2 linked regions of the Lonchura striata genome follow. The protein of the gene in region 1 purifies or fractionates together with the protein of each later gene. This does not show direct contact. Links are inferred from orthologs where the notes say so. Each region holds a gene or a part of one and is shown in the gene's direction. Other genes may lie near its edges.

Region 1 (7,401 bases):
GAGCCTGTGGCTGCTGCAGGAACATGGAATGGTGACACCTTTGGGTGGGGGTCAGCTCCCACCTGGCCCCAGGGACCCTGGCTGGGACCACGGTGAAGGTGCCTTGGGCCGGGAAGGGACAGGGATTGTAGACAAGGACCAGGAAGGGGAAGGGAACAAGTGTGGGGATGGGGAGGGATGGGGATGGGAATGGGGGATGATCAGGGTCCAGGGAGGGACAGGGCTGGGGACAGGGAGTGTTGGGGACACAGAGACAGGGACTCACATTGTCAGAGCTGCCAGAGAGCAGCAGGTCCTTGACAGTGAGGGCACAGGATGCAGGTGGGGGGACCACAGGCGGGTCCTGGCTCTCCTCCAGGAAGAACCCGGGGTGCCACATGTCTGGGTGAGGGCAGAGCAGAGCTGTCAACAGTGCTGTGTCCCCACTGTCCCCAGTGTCCCCACTGCAGGACCCTCCTCCTGCCATGGCTCCAGAACCAGGGTGACTTGCTGCCCAACCCATGCCCCTGACTCTGTCTCCCCAAACTGTCCCTCTGGTCCTGCCCTAGTCCCCCCCCAACACCAACTGGTTCACCTGCCCAGTTCACCCCAGTTCCCAAGCTCTCCACACTCTCCCCATCTCCTCCCTAGCCCACCAGACCTCCCAGTTCTTTCCAGTTTCCCCCAGCCTCCTTAATTTCCTCACAGTCCCCCACCTCCCCCACTGCTCTCAGCTCCCCAGTGTCCCCAGTCCCTCCAGTGCCCCCAGCCCGGTCCTTTCCCAGTGTGGCTCACCCAGGTCGATGGAGACCTCAGGCTGCAGGACCCCAGACCCCGCCGGGAGGGGCTGGGCCTGGCAGGGGTCGGTGTAGGGGTACAGGACCTCTTGGGGACCCCCATCACAGCTCCGGGGGGGGCTGTCATGCTGGTCAGAGGGGGGGTCCTCGGACACCCCGCTGTCACTGGTGGCCGGGGACCAGCTGGGCGAGTCCGACACCGAGTCCCCGGAGCCCAGGACGGAGCTCAGGAAGTCCTTGCTGTCCGGGGCACGCTGTGGGGACACGGCACCGTCACCGGGAGCACCCATCCCCCGGGCTGTGACATCCCAGGGCTGTCACCCAGCAGGGCCGAGGCGGGGCGGGGTCCGGGCCTGGCTCACCCTGTCCTGGGGCCAGGCTCCCGGCGGCGAGCCCAGCTCCACCTCACGCAGGATCCCGTCCTGGAGGTCGAAGAGGAGATCCAGCAGGTCCAGGCTCTCGAGGCTGCCCGCGCTGGAGGCCATGGCTGTGGGGTGGCAGGGTCATTGTCCAGCCCAGGCCCCGTGGTACCCCCCAGAGCCACCCCCATGTGAGCTGCAGGGCCCCAGGGACACCTCGAGTCGTGGGGCAGCTGGGAGGAGGCAGGGGCATGTTGGGATTCACCTGGAAAAGCCCTACAGGTGGACAGGATGTGGGGACTCCAGGCATGGCAGTGCCCCCCGCTCCTTCCAGCAGCTGAAGTTCCCAAATCCTCCAGTTTTCCACCCAGAGCTGCCCAGCCAGGGGGTTCCCTCCTGGAGGTGACCGTGCTGGAAGGGCTGGTTAATCATTCTGGGTGGCAAGTGGAGGGCAGGGGACTGTGGCCACCAGTCACCCCAGGGAGGGGACTCAGTCCCTCACTGCTAGACCCTGGGCTCAGAGCCACTGGGCCAGCTGACCACTAGCCCAACTGGCCAATCAGCCAACTGACATCCCAGCTACCCAACCAGCTGATCCACTGACCAACCGGTTGACCAGTCAGTCAATGAACTGATCAAGAGACAGACCGAATGGTCAACCTGTTGGCCAAGTGACCAATGGATGGACTGCCCAAATGACCAGCCCACTGACCAATGCATTGACCAGTCAACTCTGCCTGCTTGACCAACCAACCAACCCACCAGCCACCCAACTGACTCAAGTGTCCTCCAAACCAGCTGGGGACAGCTGTCACTGCTTGACATTTGTCTGGCCAAGGTGGACACGGGGCTTTATTGCACCCTGTCCTTCACTCTGAGTCCTCTCAGAGAATCCTGATGGCCCCATGGGGTCTTGTTGAGTGGTGACAGCCGGGACATACCTGAGGGAGATGCCATAGATTGTCCTCTCAACCCTCTCTGAGCACAGGGGAGCACGGTAGACAACAAGCCCGGCCTTCACCCTCCTCCTCTTCCTCCTCCTTTGTGATTCCCTGGCCCGAATGGCAAAGTTTAAACTCCAACTGCACAGAAATAATATCCCAGATTGCAAAATGTCCCAGCCCTGATTGGGGCTGTCAGAGTGAGATGGCAGGGCCACCCCGGGGCTGGACCCGTAACTCATTAGCCAAATGTTGTTGTGCTCCTCTGCCAAGCGGGGCAGGAGGGGCCGGGGCTGCCGGGCGAAGTCCAGGTGCTATAATTGTCCATGAACCTTCACCCACTTTTGGGGACAGTTTCCCTTTTTTCAGACGTCTGGGGATTAATCACATTCGATGTGTGCAATATCCGGGGATGTTTGCTTGGGCTCTACCTCTTATGGCTTATCAAAAAAAAACTTGGTGCCCTCTGGCTCTCCCTGGAGAAAGACCATTGACAAGGGATGGAGGGACAGGACACAGGGAATGCCTTCCCATGGACAGAGGGCAGGGATGGATGGGATATTGGGAATGGAAATGGGGATAATAGGGAGGGCACAAGGAGGACCTGAGGGGGAACGGGAACAGGGATAACGGCACTGGGAATGGGAATAACAGCACTGGGGTTGGGAATAACAGCACTGGGATTGGGGGATCATGGCAGTGGGAATGGAGGATAACGGCACTGGGAATGGGGGATAACAGCACCCAGGGCATGGGAATAGGGATAACAGCACTGGGAATGCCCAAGGGATTGCTCCAAGGGAACTGGAGAAGGACTTTGGACAAGGGACAGGACACAGGGAATGGCTTCCCAGTGCCAGAGGCAGGGATAGATGGGATATTGGGCAGCAACTGTTCTCTGGCAGGCCCTGGCGCAGGGTGCCCAGAGCAGCTGTGGCTGCCCCTGGATCCCTGGCAGTGCCCAAGGCCAGCTTGGAGCAGCCTGGGACGGTGGAAGATGTCCCTGCCATGGCAGGGGTGGAATGGGATGTGTTTAAAATCCATCCCCACGCAGATTCCGCGGCTGTCTGGGGCGGCCTCGCTGTGCCGAGCCTTCATCCCCCTCGCACTGAGGGACACCAGCAGCACGCAGCTGCCGCCGCCCCGGCGGCCCCGGGCGCACGGAGGGCACGGCGCTGACGAAGGCTCCGTGCGGCCCAGGGGACAAGGCCACGGCCCCTTATCGGCCCCGCCACGGCCTCTGCCCGAGCAGGCGGCGGCTGCTCCCTGTTTATGGCCCCATCCACCCGTCCGGGACCGGGCAAAGGGCGCCGCCGCTGCCGCCAGCCGCGGCTGCTCGCGGCCCCTCATGAGGAGCCTCGGGGGTCCCTGCGCCTGGCATCGGGCATGGATGGGGTGAGCAGAGCAGGCGGGGCTGAGGGGCTGCTGCCCGCTGCTGGGGCGCTAATTAGCGATGATTTAATTAACGTTCGGTCCGCACAGCCGGAGCCCCCCGGGCGGGAACCTCCGCCACGGCCGCCGGCCGCTGCTCCCCTCAGAGAGATCTCGCGAGACTTCGCCAAGCCGCGCGCGTTTCTCCGCGCTCTTAGGCCCCGCCCCTTTTGCCGCCGCGGGGCCCCGCCCTCCCGGAGCCGCCGGTCCCGCCCCACGGACAGACCCCGGTCCCGCCCCATGGAGTTCCTGGTCCCACCCCACGGAGCTCCCGGTTCCGCCCCACGGAACCCACGGAGCTCCGGGTCCCGCCCCACAGAGCTCCCTCGGTCCCGCCCCACAGAACTCCCCGTCCCGCCCCACGGAGCCCCCGGTCCCGCCCCACGGAGCCCAAGGAGCTCCGGGTTCCGCCCGATGGTGCTCCGGTCCCGCCCCACAGAGCCCCCGGTCCCGCCCCACGGAGCCCCCGGTCCCGCCCCACGGAGCCCACGGAGCTCCGGGTTCCGCCCGATGGTGCTCCGGTCCCGCCCCACGGAGCCCCCGGTCCCGCCTCCACGGGCCCGACCGCGGCCCCGCGCCGGCCCCGCCCCCGGGCTCGGTCCCGCCCCGATTGGCCCGCGCGGGCCCCGGCCCCGCCCCCGGGCTCGGCCCCGCCCCGATTGGCCCGCGCGGGCCCCGCCCCGCCCCCGGGCTCGGCCCCGCCCCGATTGGCCCTCGCGGGCCCCGCCCCGCCCCCGGGCTCGGCCCCGCCCCGATTGGCCCGCGCGGGCCCCGGCCCCGCCCCCGGGCTCGGCCCCGCCCCGATTGGCCCGCGCGGGCCCCGCCCCGGCCCCGCCCCCGCGCGCCCCCGCGCCGGCCGCGCCCCCGCCCCGCAGGCGCGGCCCGGCCCGGCCATGCCGGCCAAGAGGAAGCCGGTGCTGCCCGCCCTCAACATCGCCCCCAGCGCCGCCGAGGGGCCCAGCCCCGACGGCTCCGCTGAGTGAGTCAGGCCCGGCCGGGACCGCCCCGGCGGCGGGGCTGCGCTTGGGGGGGACGCGGGGCCGGGGGGGGACACCGGGCCTGGGCTGACCGGGGAGGCCGGGACAGAGCGGGCACCGGGCCCGGGGGGTCGGGGCACGGCGGGTACGGGGCGCGGGGAAGGCCAGGGGAGGCCTGGAGGAGTCGGGACGGGTTTGGGGAGGCCTGGGAAGGTCTGAGGGGGGAGCAGGGAAGGTCCCGGGGGGCTGGGACGGGCCCGGGGGCTGGGTGGGCCCGATGTGGGGCAGGTTAGGGTCAGGGAGGCATTGCCGGGGAGGAGGTTGGGGCTTGGAGGGGCTGGGGTGGGGATGGGACGGGCAGGGGGAGGCTGCTCCGGCCCCCCCGGTTCGCAGGGGCAGCTCAAGCCTGGGGAGTGCCGGATCCAGGCCTGGAACCGCAGGGAAGCAGGCCTGGAGACCCAGGGTGGAGCTGGGGTAGGGACCCAGGGTCTGAGGGGCAGCAGTGGGGGCTCGGCAGGTGGGACATGTGGGGTGAGAGGTGCTGGAGGGGGTGGGTGGGGTGCTGAGGGAAGGGATGGGGTGAGACCCTCCCGACACGTCCCGGTGTGGGTGAGGAGGGACAAGGGGGTGGCAGCAACTGGGACAGAGCAGCTGGAGCTGGCACAGGCGGCGGGGGCTCGGCAGCTGGTGCTGGGGGAGCACAGACCCCCCTTTGTGCTCAGCATTTGGGGTGGGGGTGTAACGGAGCTGCTGGACCCCATGGAAGGCCCTTCTCGTGTTACACAGCCAAAGCCAAGTTTGGCTCCCCGGGACAGGGAGCAGCAACTGCTGCTGCCTCTTTAAGGGCCGAGGGATTTTTCCTGTTCCTTGGCTCTCCCAAAACACCTGACTGCTCCCCAGCTCCTCTCCAGAGGGGCTGTGTGTGTTGGGCAGGGCCTTCTCCAGGTCTCCCTGTCCAGGTGATCCCATTGTTGGGGGCTCAGGACATGTCAGGGGATGCTTTTCCATCATTTCCCTCCACTTTCCACCTATGCCCTCCTTTCCCTGGTGCTGACCGTCTCCCATCTCCTCCTCCCCTCTCCAGGGCTAACCTGGTGGACCTGCAGAAGAAGCTGGAGGAGCTGGAGCTGGATGAGCAGCAGAAGAAGCGCCTGGAAGCTTTCCTGACACAAAAAGCCAAAGTGGGGGAGCTGAAGGACGATGACTTCGAGAGGATCTCCGAGCTGGGCGCTGGCAATGGCGGGGTGGTCACCAAAGTGCAGCACAAACCCTCAGGGCTCATTATGGCACGGAAGGTAACGAGGGACTGGGAATGCTGGGGAGCACCTGGAGCTCTCCCTGCCTCGGGGAGGGCTGGGTTTGGTTGGATTCTCTCTGCATTTGCACCTTCACCACCTCACCATGGCCAGGAGCAGAGTCCTGGCTGCTCCCAGATGGAGCTCTCTCTTTTGGGAGAGGCTGCACTCCCAGGGACAGATCCCTGGGCTCTGGAAAACAGGAGTTTTATTTTTTTCCCTTTTCTGATGGATGGAGTGACTGGAATTGGATCTCCTGAGGATTGTAGGTCGTGGCTGAGGAGGTGGGATGGGTTTAGCACGCACGTCCCTCAGCCCCATTTAACACATCCCAAGGACATTCCAAGCAGGGACAGAGGTTCCTCTCAGACTTGCCTTCATTGGGAGCATCCACAGTGGTGCCACGGAGTAGAAAATCAGGAGCTGCTTCACTGCCTGCTGGGAGAGACTGTGCTTGGCAGGAGCAGCACAACCACTGCTCTGCCTCCTCCAGAGTCTCTCCTCCTTCCTGCTGCTGGGATCATGGAATCGTGGAGTGGTTTGGGTTGGAAGGGGCCTTACAGCTCACCCAGTTCCCTGGGCAGGGCCTCCTTTCACCAGCACAGGGTGTTTCCCTCCCCACTCTGCTCTGACCCACGTGCGGCCCCAAAAGCCGCCGCTCGTTCTTGTGCAGAACTTCACAGGGGCTTTTTCTTTTCTGTGGTTTCCTTGATCTCGGAGCACCTTCTTACAACACCTCCAGAGCTTGTGAAAATGCTCCTGGCTGCTGACTCAGAGGGGCTGAGATCAAACTCCTGACTCGTCTTTCCACCCGTGTCCGGTGCAATCCCGGTGCCTTCCATGGCTGAGGCAGCACAGAGCTCTCCCTCTGCCTTCAGTGTGGAATCCTTGGAATCCCCCACTGGATGGGCTCGGAGAGACCTCCAGTCCCACCCGGTGCCATGGCCTGGGACACCTTCCACTGTCCCAGGATCCATCCAACCTGGCTCAGGCACTTCCAGAGGCACCCACAGCTTCTCTGGGAATTCCATCCCAGGGCCTCACCACCCTCACAGGGTTTATCCCAAATATCCCATCTCTCCCTGCCCTTTGGCAGTGGGAAGCCATTCCCTGTGTCCTGGCACTTTATCCTCAATATGGGAAATGGGAGAATGGGAAAAATCCTGCTCCAAAGCAGCGCCTCCCTTGAAGGTCTCATTTCTTCCGAGCACTCAGGGCTGCTGCCCATCAGTTCTTTTCCTTCCCAGGAGTCACACCTCTCCTGTTTTCTCTCTCTTGGCAGCTGATCCATTTGGAAATCAAGCCAGCCATCAGGAACCAGATCATCCGGGAGCTGCAGGTGCTGCACGAGTGCAACTCCCCCTACATCGTGGGGTTTTACGGAGCCTTCTACAGCGACGGGGAGATCTCCATCTGCATGGAGCACATGGTGAGGCCCTGCCCCTGCCCTGCACCCTCCCCGTGCCCTCTCCCTGCCAGCTCAGTGCCCTGGGGCACTGGCAGCTCCCTGCTCGGGCCACTCTGCTCCTGGTGGGAGCCACACATTCCTGCTCAGGCCTCGGAATGAGGGAGACAGCGACTTTTGGGAAGAGGAAGCAGAGGTTTGGGGCTTGGCCAAACGG
Region 2 (7,502 bases), on another chromosome or scaffold:
GTATTTATATTACAGCAGCACTCAGAGGCTTCTCACCGAGATACAGGCGTTGCTGTGCGAGCAGAGAGTAAAAGACTCTTCCTGCCCCAAACAGTTTATTTTACTGGTGATAAATAACAGACAAAAAGGCAGCACTATTGCAACACAGCTAATGCTAAAGAAAGACTGCAAAACCCATGAGATTACTCTAAAAATAAATGTTGGGGGTTTTATTTGTTTTATAGACAACTAAAATTCTTATGTTCTTAAAGCTAGAAAGTTTTGGGTTGCTGTAACAGCTGCAATGCTTGTTTACTCACATGACTCCAGAATGTAAGGTGAACACATCAGTCCAGGCCTCCTCCTCGCAGTCCCATCTCAAAGTTTCTTTCTGTTGAAGGGGAAGTGAGCAGGGGGTTGGTGGTGCTTAGTTGCCAGCTGGGGTTAAACCATGACACCTGTACACAGAAAACACTGAGTGAAGCTACATAGCAGTTTCTTGTGCCTTCCACTTGTGGGGCAGAAATTCCCTCAAGATTGCCCAAACTCAAATGTTTTCCCCACCCACGAAAATTATTTTTAAGAAAAGGAGCAGTGTTTAATTTTCACATATTTTCCTCCATTGTTGTCAGCACACAGTTCAGTTTCCTTTATCTATCCCTAACTCACTGGGATCCACCACTGCCAAATCTGTGGATTTGCTGGTCCATCCCTTGCATTTAGTCAAACGCCATTTGACACAGACAGCTGAGCAGGAAAAAATCCATGGAAGAAGTGGACTTAGACAAAAATATTTTTTAAAGGTGAAGGTCATGTCTTATACTTGTGTGAACTGGTCTGGCTCAGTTGCAAGCAGTGGAGATATCTAAACTAGGGAATGGTGAGGATTTGTTCCGGGAACACCATCTCACCATCCTCACTTTCTCTGTATATCCTAACAAGAATATCCAGCAGCATGTCTAAAAATAGGACTTAAGTTTCTCAGCTTCCCAGCAGAGAAGCATGCCAGAGCTACTGTGTATTCCTGTGCTGTGCCGGGGAGAGGAATACTCCTATGGCTGTGTAGGAGGAAGCCTTTGAGGGGAAAATCATCAACGATAAAGGCCTCTTTCATCTGAAATACCTAACATTTCAGCTCTTCAAATCCCAACACTACATTTTCTTAAAACAGGTCTCTATTATGTGTTAAACACATCAAATAGAGCAATTCAGTCTCATCATCTAAATTCAGTGTTGTGATAGCTGAATGAAATTGGGGCAAGCTAGCTAAAAAGGTAATAGAGGCTTTTCATACAGGCAGCATGTGAAATGCATCAGTGCTTTTCTTTCTCCAAGAACATAAAAAAAGGTATTTTTCCTCAGTGAGCTTATTTTACTGAGTCCGAGACCATTGCTGTGGTCCAGGACTTCCAGGGGTGCTTAGCAAGGTTTGGGCTTTATTCATGTAGCTAGAACCTGATCTGTGTAGGCAAGAGAGATGGGGGCAGTGGGGAAGAGAAATCCTCTCCATCCTTAGGTCAGTGGCTTAACCAAGGACACAGCAGTTTTCTCTGATCCAGTTCAGGCATTCCACATTTTATTGTTTTCAGAACGATTGGTTTTTGACACAGTGGCAAAAAAAGGCCACTATACAATGAAGTTGACAATGTGGGTACGGTTCACTCAATTAAAAAAAAAAACAAACAAACAATTGTTTTACTCTAGAGAATGCAGTTCTTATGTCCACCCTACATAAACTGTACATTAAAAGAAAAATCCTAACAGGTGCATCAATTAATGTATAAAGTACAACATATGTCACTTCCTGAAATCTCTGGGAAAAGAGGTCATTCAGTGTGCTCACATGGTCCTTCTAGCATGGCCCAGCCATGGTATTTCTCTTTTCAAACTCTGATAAGCAGTGTTTTTACCCCAACTCCTTATAGACAGAATGCTGTGGTTTCAGACAACTTAAACTTCCAGGACTGCAGACAAAGCTTGTGGTGGAAGAGCAGCCTGAGCTCTGGGAAGGCGCCAGCCCCACAGCCTTGGAGGCAGCAGCAGGGATGATGAGCAGGGATGGACGCCCAGGCAGTGTTTAGTCAGCACATTTTTCCCGCAGGCCCAAGGGCAGCCCTGTGTGCTGGGGCTGGAATGCTGCCCACGGACGGCAGCCGGGTAATGAGGGCGGCACTCCCAGCGCACAAACACTGCAGGGAATGCCAAGTATCCTGTGATGCAGGCCCACAGGTTTCCTATGCTTTCTCATTCCCATTGCTTTCTCATGCAACGCGCTCGGCCTCTTGTCTATAAGCAAATGGATATTCTCAGGTGGGTACATGGAGAATGTCTACAAGAACAATGTCCTGTTAATAATGTTCCCTAGTTCCACAGTCACCTGTACTTGAGGATTTAAATCCCTCAGAGTCCTAGAAACTAAAATTTCCAGTGCTAAACTTCCAGTGCTCCTGAGCGCAGACAGGGTAGATAAAGGCTTTTTCACAAGGTCAGAAATATGGAGGTAATAAGCAAAGTTACTTTCCCAAAACCACAGGACTCATCAGATGGCAAACTAATTAAACCCTAATCCAGCAAAGCCCTTATTGCGTATGAAATTTACAGCATGTGAATAATGACAATAAAATCAAATACTTAACCTGACCCACATTCTTAAGAAAATTACTAAACAGCATATGCCACACTACTTGATGCAAATCTATACAAACTGATGTGGATACCAGTATTTATCTAACTATGAAAAAAACAGTTTAGCTGCTTTGGCCTGCTCCACTGCTTCATGTCCTAAATTCATAGTTTCTTCTTTTTTTTCCCCCCCAAGAATCTCCCTTCTGTATTGCCACATGTGGCTCAGATGTCATTTAAGCTTTTAAAACCTGGTATCAATTTAGTGCAAATTAAGGAGACTGTCTTCTTCTGTTAGTAAGGTACAACCTAACTGCCTCTCTGGATCCCTCATGTCAGATGAACAGTCCCAATTCTAATAATCGGGAGATGAGTGGTTCCTGCACTGACAGCTCAGCTCTGTGCGAGTCCATCAGACAGGCTGGATATGAAACCAAATGTAATGCAGTTACCTGGACATTTTCCTCACGTTTCCATTGTGGAAACTCAAACCACAGCGATTCCACAAGGCAATAATGAAGTTCCCTCCTACTCACGATAGGGATGAACCCACACACCTATCGTACTCAAAGCTTATATTCACTAAAATACGTTTATCCTAACGCCTGCTCACACCTCCCCTGGGCTGGGAAGGCCACCCCTGCCCCGGCCCAGCTTCCTCCAGGGTCTCGGAGGGAGCCGACCGCGGGCTCCTCAGAGCGAGCTGCGAGCCCTGACAAACCCGAGGGGCTGAGGCGGGCGCGCAGACGGGACAGGGAGACAGCGAAGAGGGAAATGAGGGAAATGAGGGCTGAGGCGGGCACTGAGGGCTGAGGGACACGCTGAGGGCTGAGGCGGGCACTGAGGGCTGAGGGACGCGCTGAGGGGTGAGGAGGGCGCTGAGGGGTGAGGCGGGCACTGAGGGCTGAGGGACACACTGAGGGGTGAGGAGGGCGCTGAGGGGTGAGGCGGGCACTGAGGGCTGAGGGACACGCTGAGGGGTGAGGAGGGCACTGAGGGGTGAGGCGGGCACTGAGGGCTGAGGCGGGCACTGAGGGGTGAGGGACACGCTGAAGGGTGAGGCGGGCACTGAGTGGTGAGGAGGGCAATGAGGGCTGAGGCGGGCACTGAGGGGTGAGGGACACGCTGAAGGGTGAGGTGGGCACTGGGGGGTGAGGAGGGCAATGAGGGCTGAGGCGGGCACTGAGGGCTGAGGGACACGCTGAGGGGTGAGGAGGGCACTGAGGGGTGAGGCGGGCACTGAGGGCTGAGGCGGGCACTGAGGGCTGAGGGACACGCTGAGGGGTGAGGAGGGCACTGAGGGGTGAGGAGGGCGCTGAGGGGTGAGGAGGGCACTGAGGGCTGAGGCGGGCACTGAGGGCTGAGGGACACGCTGAGGGGTGAGGTGGGCGCTGAGGGGTGAGGCGGGCGCTGAGGGGTGAGGCGGGCACTGAGGGCTGAGGGACACGCTGAGGGGTGAGGTGGGCGCTGAGGGGTGAGGCGGGCGCTGAGGGGTGAGGCGGGCACTGAGGGCTGAGGGACACGCTGAGGGGTGAGGCGGGCGCTGAGGGGTGAGGAGGGCGCTGAAGGATGAGGGACGCGCTGAGGGGAGCGCCCCGGGGCGGCGGCGGGCGCGGAGGGCGGTGGCGGGGGCGGAGCGGGCGCGCTTGCGGAGCCCGGCGGCCGCGCATGTACCGCGCGGTGATTGCCCGGCGAGAGCAGAGGGGCGGGCCGAGCCGGGCCGGGTCGCCTCCCGCCCGCCTCCCTCCCTCCTTTCCTCCCTCCCTCCGCCGCTCCCCCGCCGCCGCCTCGCCTCCCGGCCTCCCTGATGCCGAGGGATGGATAGAGCGGCTGCCCTGCGAGCCGCCGGCATGCTGGAGAGGAAGGAGCGGAGCGGCGGCGAGGCGGCGGGGCCGCGGGGCTTGCCGGCCGTGCGGAGCACGCTGCAGCAGTGCGGGCTGCTACAGGACCTCATCGACATCTCGCTCTCCAACCTGCGCGGGCTCCGCACTAAGTGTGCCGCGTCCAACGACCTCACGCAGCAGGAGATCCGCACGCTGGAGGTACGGCGCGGGCTGGCAGCCGCGGGCGCCGCAGCTGCCGCCTCTGCCCCGCTCGGCCGTGGCCTGCCGCTGCCTGGCGCCCTGTCCTCTCGGCCCCGGGGCCGCGCCGCGCCTTCTCCCGCGGGCCGAGCGCTGGTGGCGGGGACAGCGGCGCCCTGGCTCCGCCGCGGAGCTGTCAGCGGGCCGGGCGCTCCCCGCTGCACAGGGACACGGGAGCCCGACAGCCCGGGGGCTGCCCCGCACCTATCCGCGCCCTGTCGGCACCGCGCTCCGCTCCGCGGCTTCCTCCGCGGCTTCCTCCGCGGCTTCCCCGGGCGGTGCCGCCGGAGCGCGGACAGGTGCGGGGCAGCCCCTCCGGTGCCCCGGGCTGTCGGGCGGGTGCGCGGGAGCTCCGTGAGGCACCGTTCGGCCGCGCCCCGGGGCCTTGCCGGGCTCCCGTGTCCCTGTGCAGCGGGATGCGCAGTGTGAGGCGCGGAGCAAAGGTGACTCGAGGCTCGCTGGCAGGAGGTGTGTCCCCACACCGCTGTCCTGGCGTGCTGGGAAAACTCCCCTTTGCCTCCTCAGGTCCTTGCTGTTTGCTCCTGATACTTCCTGCCCTCCGCTCTGGGCCTGTCTCTCTATCCCTGGCTCAGTTTCACTGATCTAATCTGATCCTGCTTCTCCCTCTGTTGCTGTAGCTCAAACAGCATCATGGACCGGGCTGGAGAGATATTCTGCTGTTTAGAAAGATTATATGAAATTCTTCAAACACAAAACATGCGCTGCTGTGATGCTCTCAAAGAACAGCTGGATCTGTATGAAGAGCTACATAAGTACATAGGAAAGGAAAGTAGATGTATTTTTCCTTAGTTAATTTGACCTTTAGAAACTAAAATAACGTTTCCTTTTACCTTCTGTGTAGGTAGTTTTGCCCTAAGCAAGCAATCCCCTCCTGTCCTCTTCTTTGATTTAAGTTTGATGTAAATGCTAGTGCTCCTCTACGTGGTACTGGAGACAGTGGAGCTGGATAGAGCGTTAGGCTTTTTAGGAAGAAAGGATCATCAACAACACTGTAACTGTAATAAACCTACATGCTGAAAAATACATCACATGAGAAATGCAGGTTGGGAAGAAAACCATGAAACAATAGGTGGTAGGTAGCTTTTGGCACAGCCTCCTGGAAATCTATAATTCTTCCTTTATTCTTCGTCTGACTTTTTTGTGGTTTTGGTTGGTTGGTTAGTTTGTTTTGTGGGGTGTTTTGTTTTAGTTGGTTCTTTTTTGCCCCCCAAATTTATAGTGCTGTTCTTCTTCCTGTCACCTCCAAATAGTATCCAAAAGACTATTCTCTGTGACACAATATTTGTATAACCTTTTGGCAGCCCTACTTGAGGACCTTTTCGATGCCCAAACAATGTCAATCAGCATAATTTCAGAAAATTATCATCACTATTTTGCTTGTGGACCTGTTCTAAAAGAAAACCTTTATTCACAAAGTGTAAAGGCATTTTATGACCTTGAGGCTCTTCTTAAAGCAACGATAGCTGTTGAGTGTGTGCACACAATCCTCTTCAGCATTTATCTGTTTAAACAAGTGGGTGCCACATTCACCGATGATCATAAGATTTATGTTCAGAAGAAAGTCTTTTTGATGTACAGTCCAGTATGTGATTTCTCCGGGAGTTCAACCAAGTTCTGGATCTCTGCCCGCACATGGAGCTGTGGGCATGGGTACAGACTCCATGTTCTTTGCGCTGTTGGGTTGCCTGTACCAAAACACATGTCAGGCATGGCCCGAGTCTTGTGCTTGACTGTGCCAGGCTGCAGTCACAGAGCCAGACTGCAGGAGCTCAGGGCCTGTGTTTGCTTCCCCAAGCTGTCATTGCTTGTGGTGCCCCTGGAGGAGGTGGGCCCAGAGCTGTCTCAGGTACCAGGTGCAGTTCCTGTGCCCTGATTCCTGTGCCAGCAGTGCCACTGTGGCTGTGTGCCTCTGCCTGTGGGGTCGTGCCAACACAGCAATGAGCTCTGGTCCTGCACGGAGCTGGGTACTGGTGGGTGGACTCCGCAGGCAGCTCGCGAAGAGTCCAGAGTGCAGCTGGGAGCTCAGAGATCTCCAGGGCCTGCTGTGCTTCCCTGGTGGCCTCTGTGAGTCACCAAATGGCTCTGCGGGTCATGATTAGTGGCTACTGGCAGTGTAGTGCTGTGAGCACTGTACTGCACTGTACTATATCTGTACTATACGTCAGTCCTGGACTGGGAGCTCATGTAGGCTGGGGCTGAATTCTCACAAGGCTTTTCTTCCGTGCAAAGACTTCAGATGACAAAGAACTGTGAAAACTTAGTCCCATTAATAAAACTGATAAACTGTGTAGTGACATGTAGTTGCCAGGTCAAGAACACCGACCTAACCAAGGGCACTTGGGCTCATGCTTAGCTCCCTCCCCATTTACCGCAATGCTTTAATTCCTTCCTCATTCCTCTTGCTTGTAAGGTGTTCTCAAAATAAAGCACATGGTAGATAAGGATTTCAAACTGGACCTTGGCAGGTACAGATAAGCACTCAGGGAAAACTGAGATACAGGAAGGAGAGGAAAGAAAGGGCTGTGGGAATTGCTTGCAAAGGATGTGTTGAGCATAATGTATTATATGAGCTGACCCTGTTTCAGGGTAGGCAGGCCATTTCTTAGAAGGGCAGGGAGTTTCCCTGTAGTGGAAAGTAGGTTCTGTTAGTTTGGTTATTAGCAGACTGGGTTCTTTGATGCCACAAGGTCTGGTTTGGGTTTTTAAAGTTTTATATGTTCTGCCCAATAAATGCTTGAGTGTTTTTCTTTTTATCCAGTGCTGGTCTTTGCTTTCAGTTTTGTCCTAGCATGTTTACTC

Evidence for each region. Proteins that work in one complex are often made in the same cells at the same time.
Region 2: the proteins of MAP2K2 (region 1) and KSR1 purify together in Homo sapiens (affinity purification with mass spectrometry; 4 studies listed by BioGRID and IntAct, with this or other methods). This does not show direct contact. The link is inferred for Lonchura striata from reciprocal best matches to the Homo sapiens genes MAP2K2 and KSR1.

The regions. Positions count from the first base shown.
Region 1 is NC_134630.1:6,760,725-6,768,125, forward strand, and holds the start of MAP2K2 (dual specificity mitogen-activated protein kinase kinase 2), read left to right. Parts: upstream 1-4,369; 5' UTR 4,370-4,400; coding exon 4,401-4,486; intron 4,487-5,568; coding exon 5,569-5,779; intron 5,780-7,061; coding exon 7,062-7,208; intron 7,209-7,401. Other genes in the region: CREB3L3 (cyclic AMP-responsive element-binding protein 3-like protein 3), read right to left, coding at 1-13, 266-381, 775-1,030, 1,139-1,263, 2,077-2,092. UniProt on the Homo sapiens protein: Catalyzes the concomitant phosphorylation of a threonine and a tyrosine residue in a Thr-Glu-Tyr sequence located in MAP kinases. Activates the ERK1 and ERK2 MAP kinases.
Region 2 is NC_134622.1:11,097,212-11,104,713, forward strand, and holds the start of KSR1 (kinase suppressor of Ras 1), read left to right. Parts: upstream 1-4,403; 5' UTR 4,404-4,418; coding exon 4,419-4,643; intron 4,644-7,502.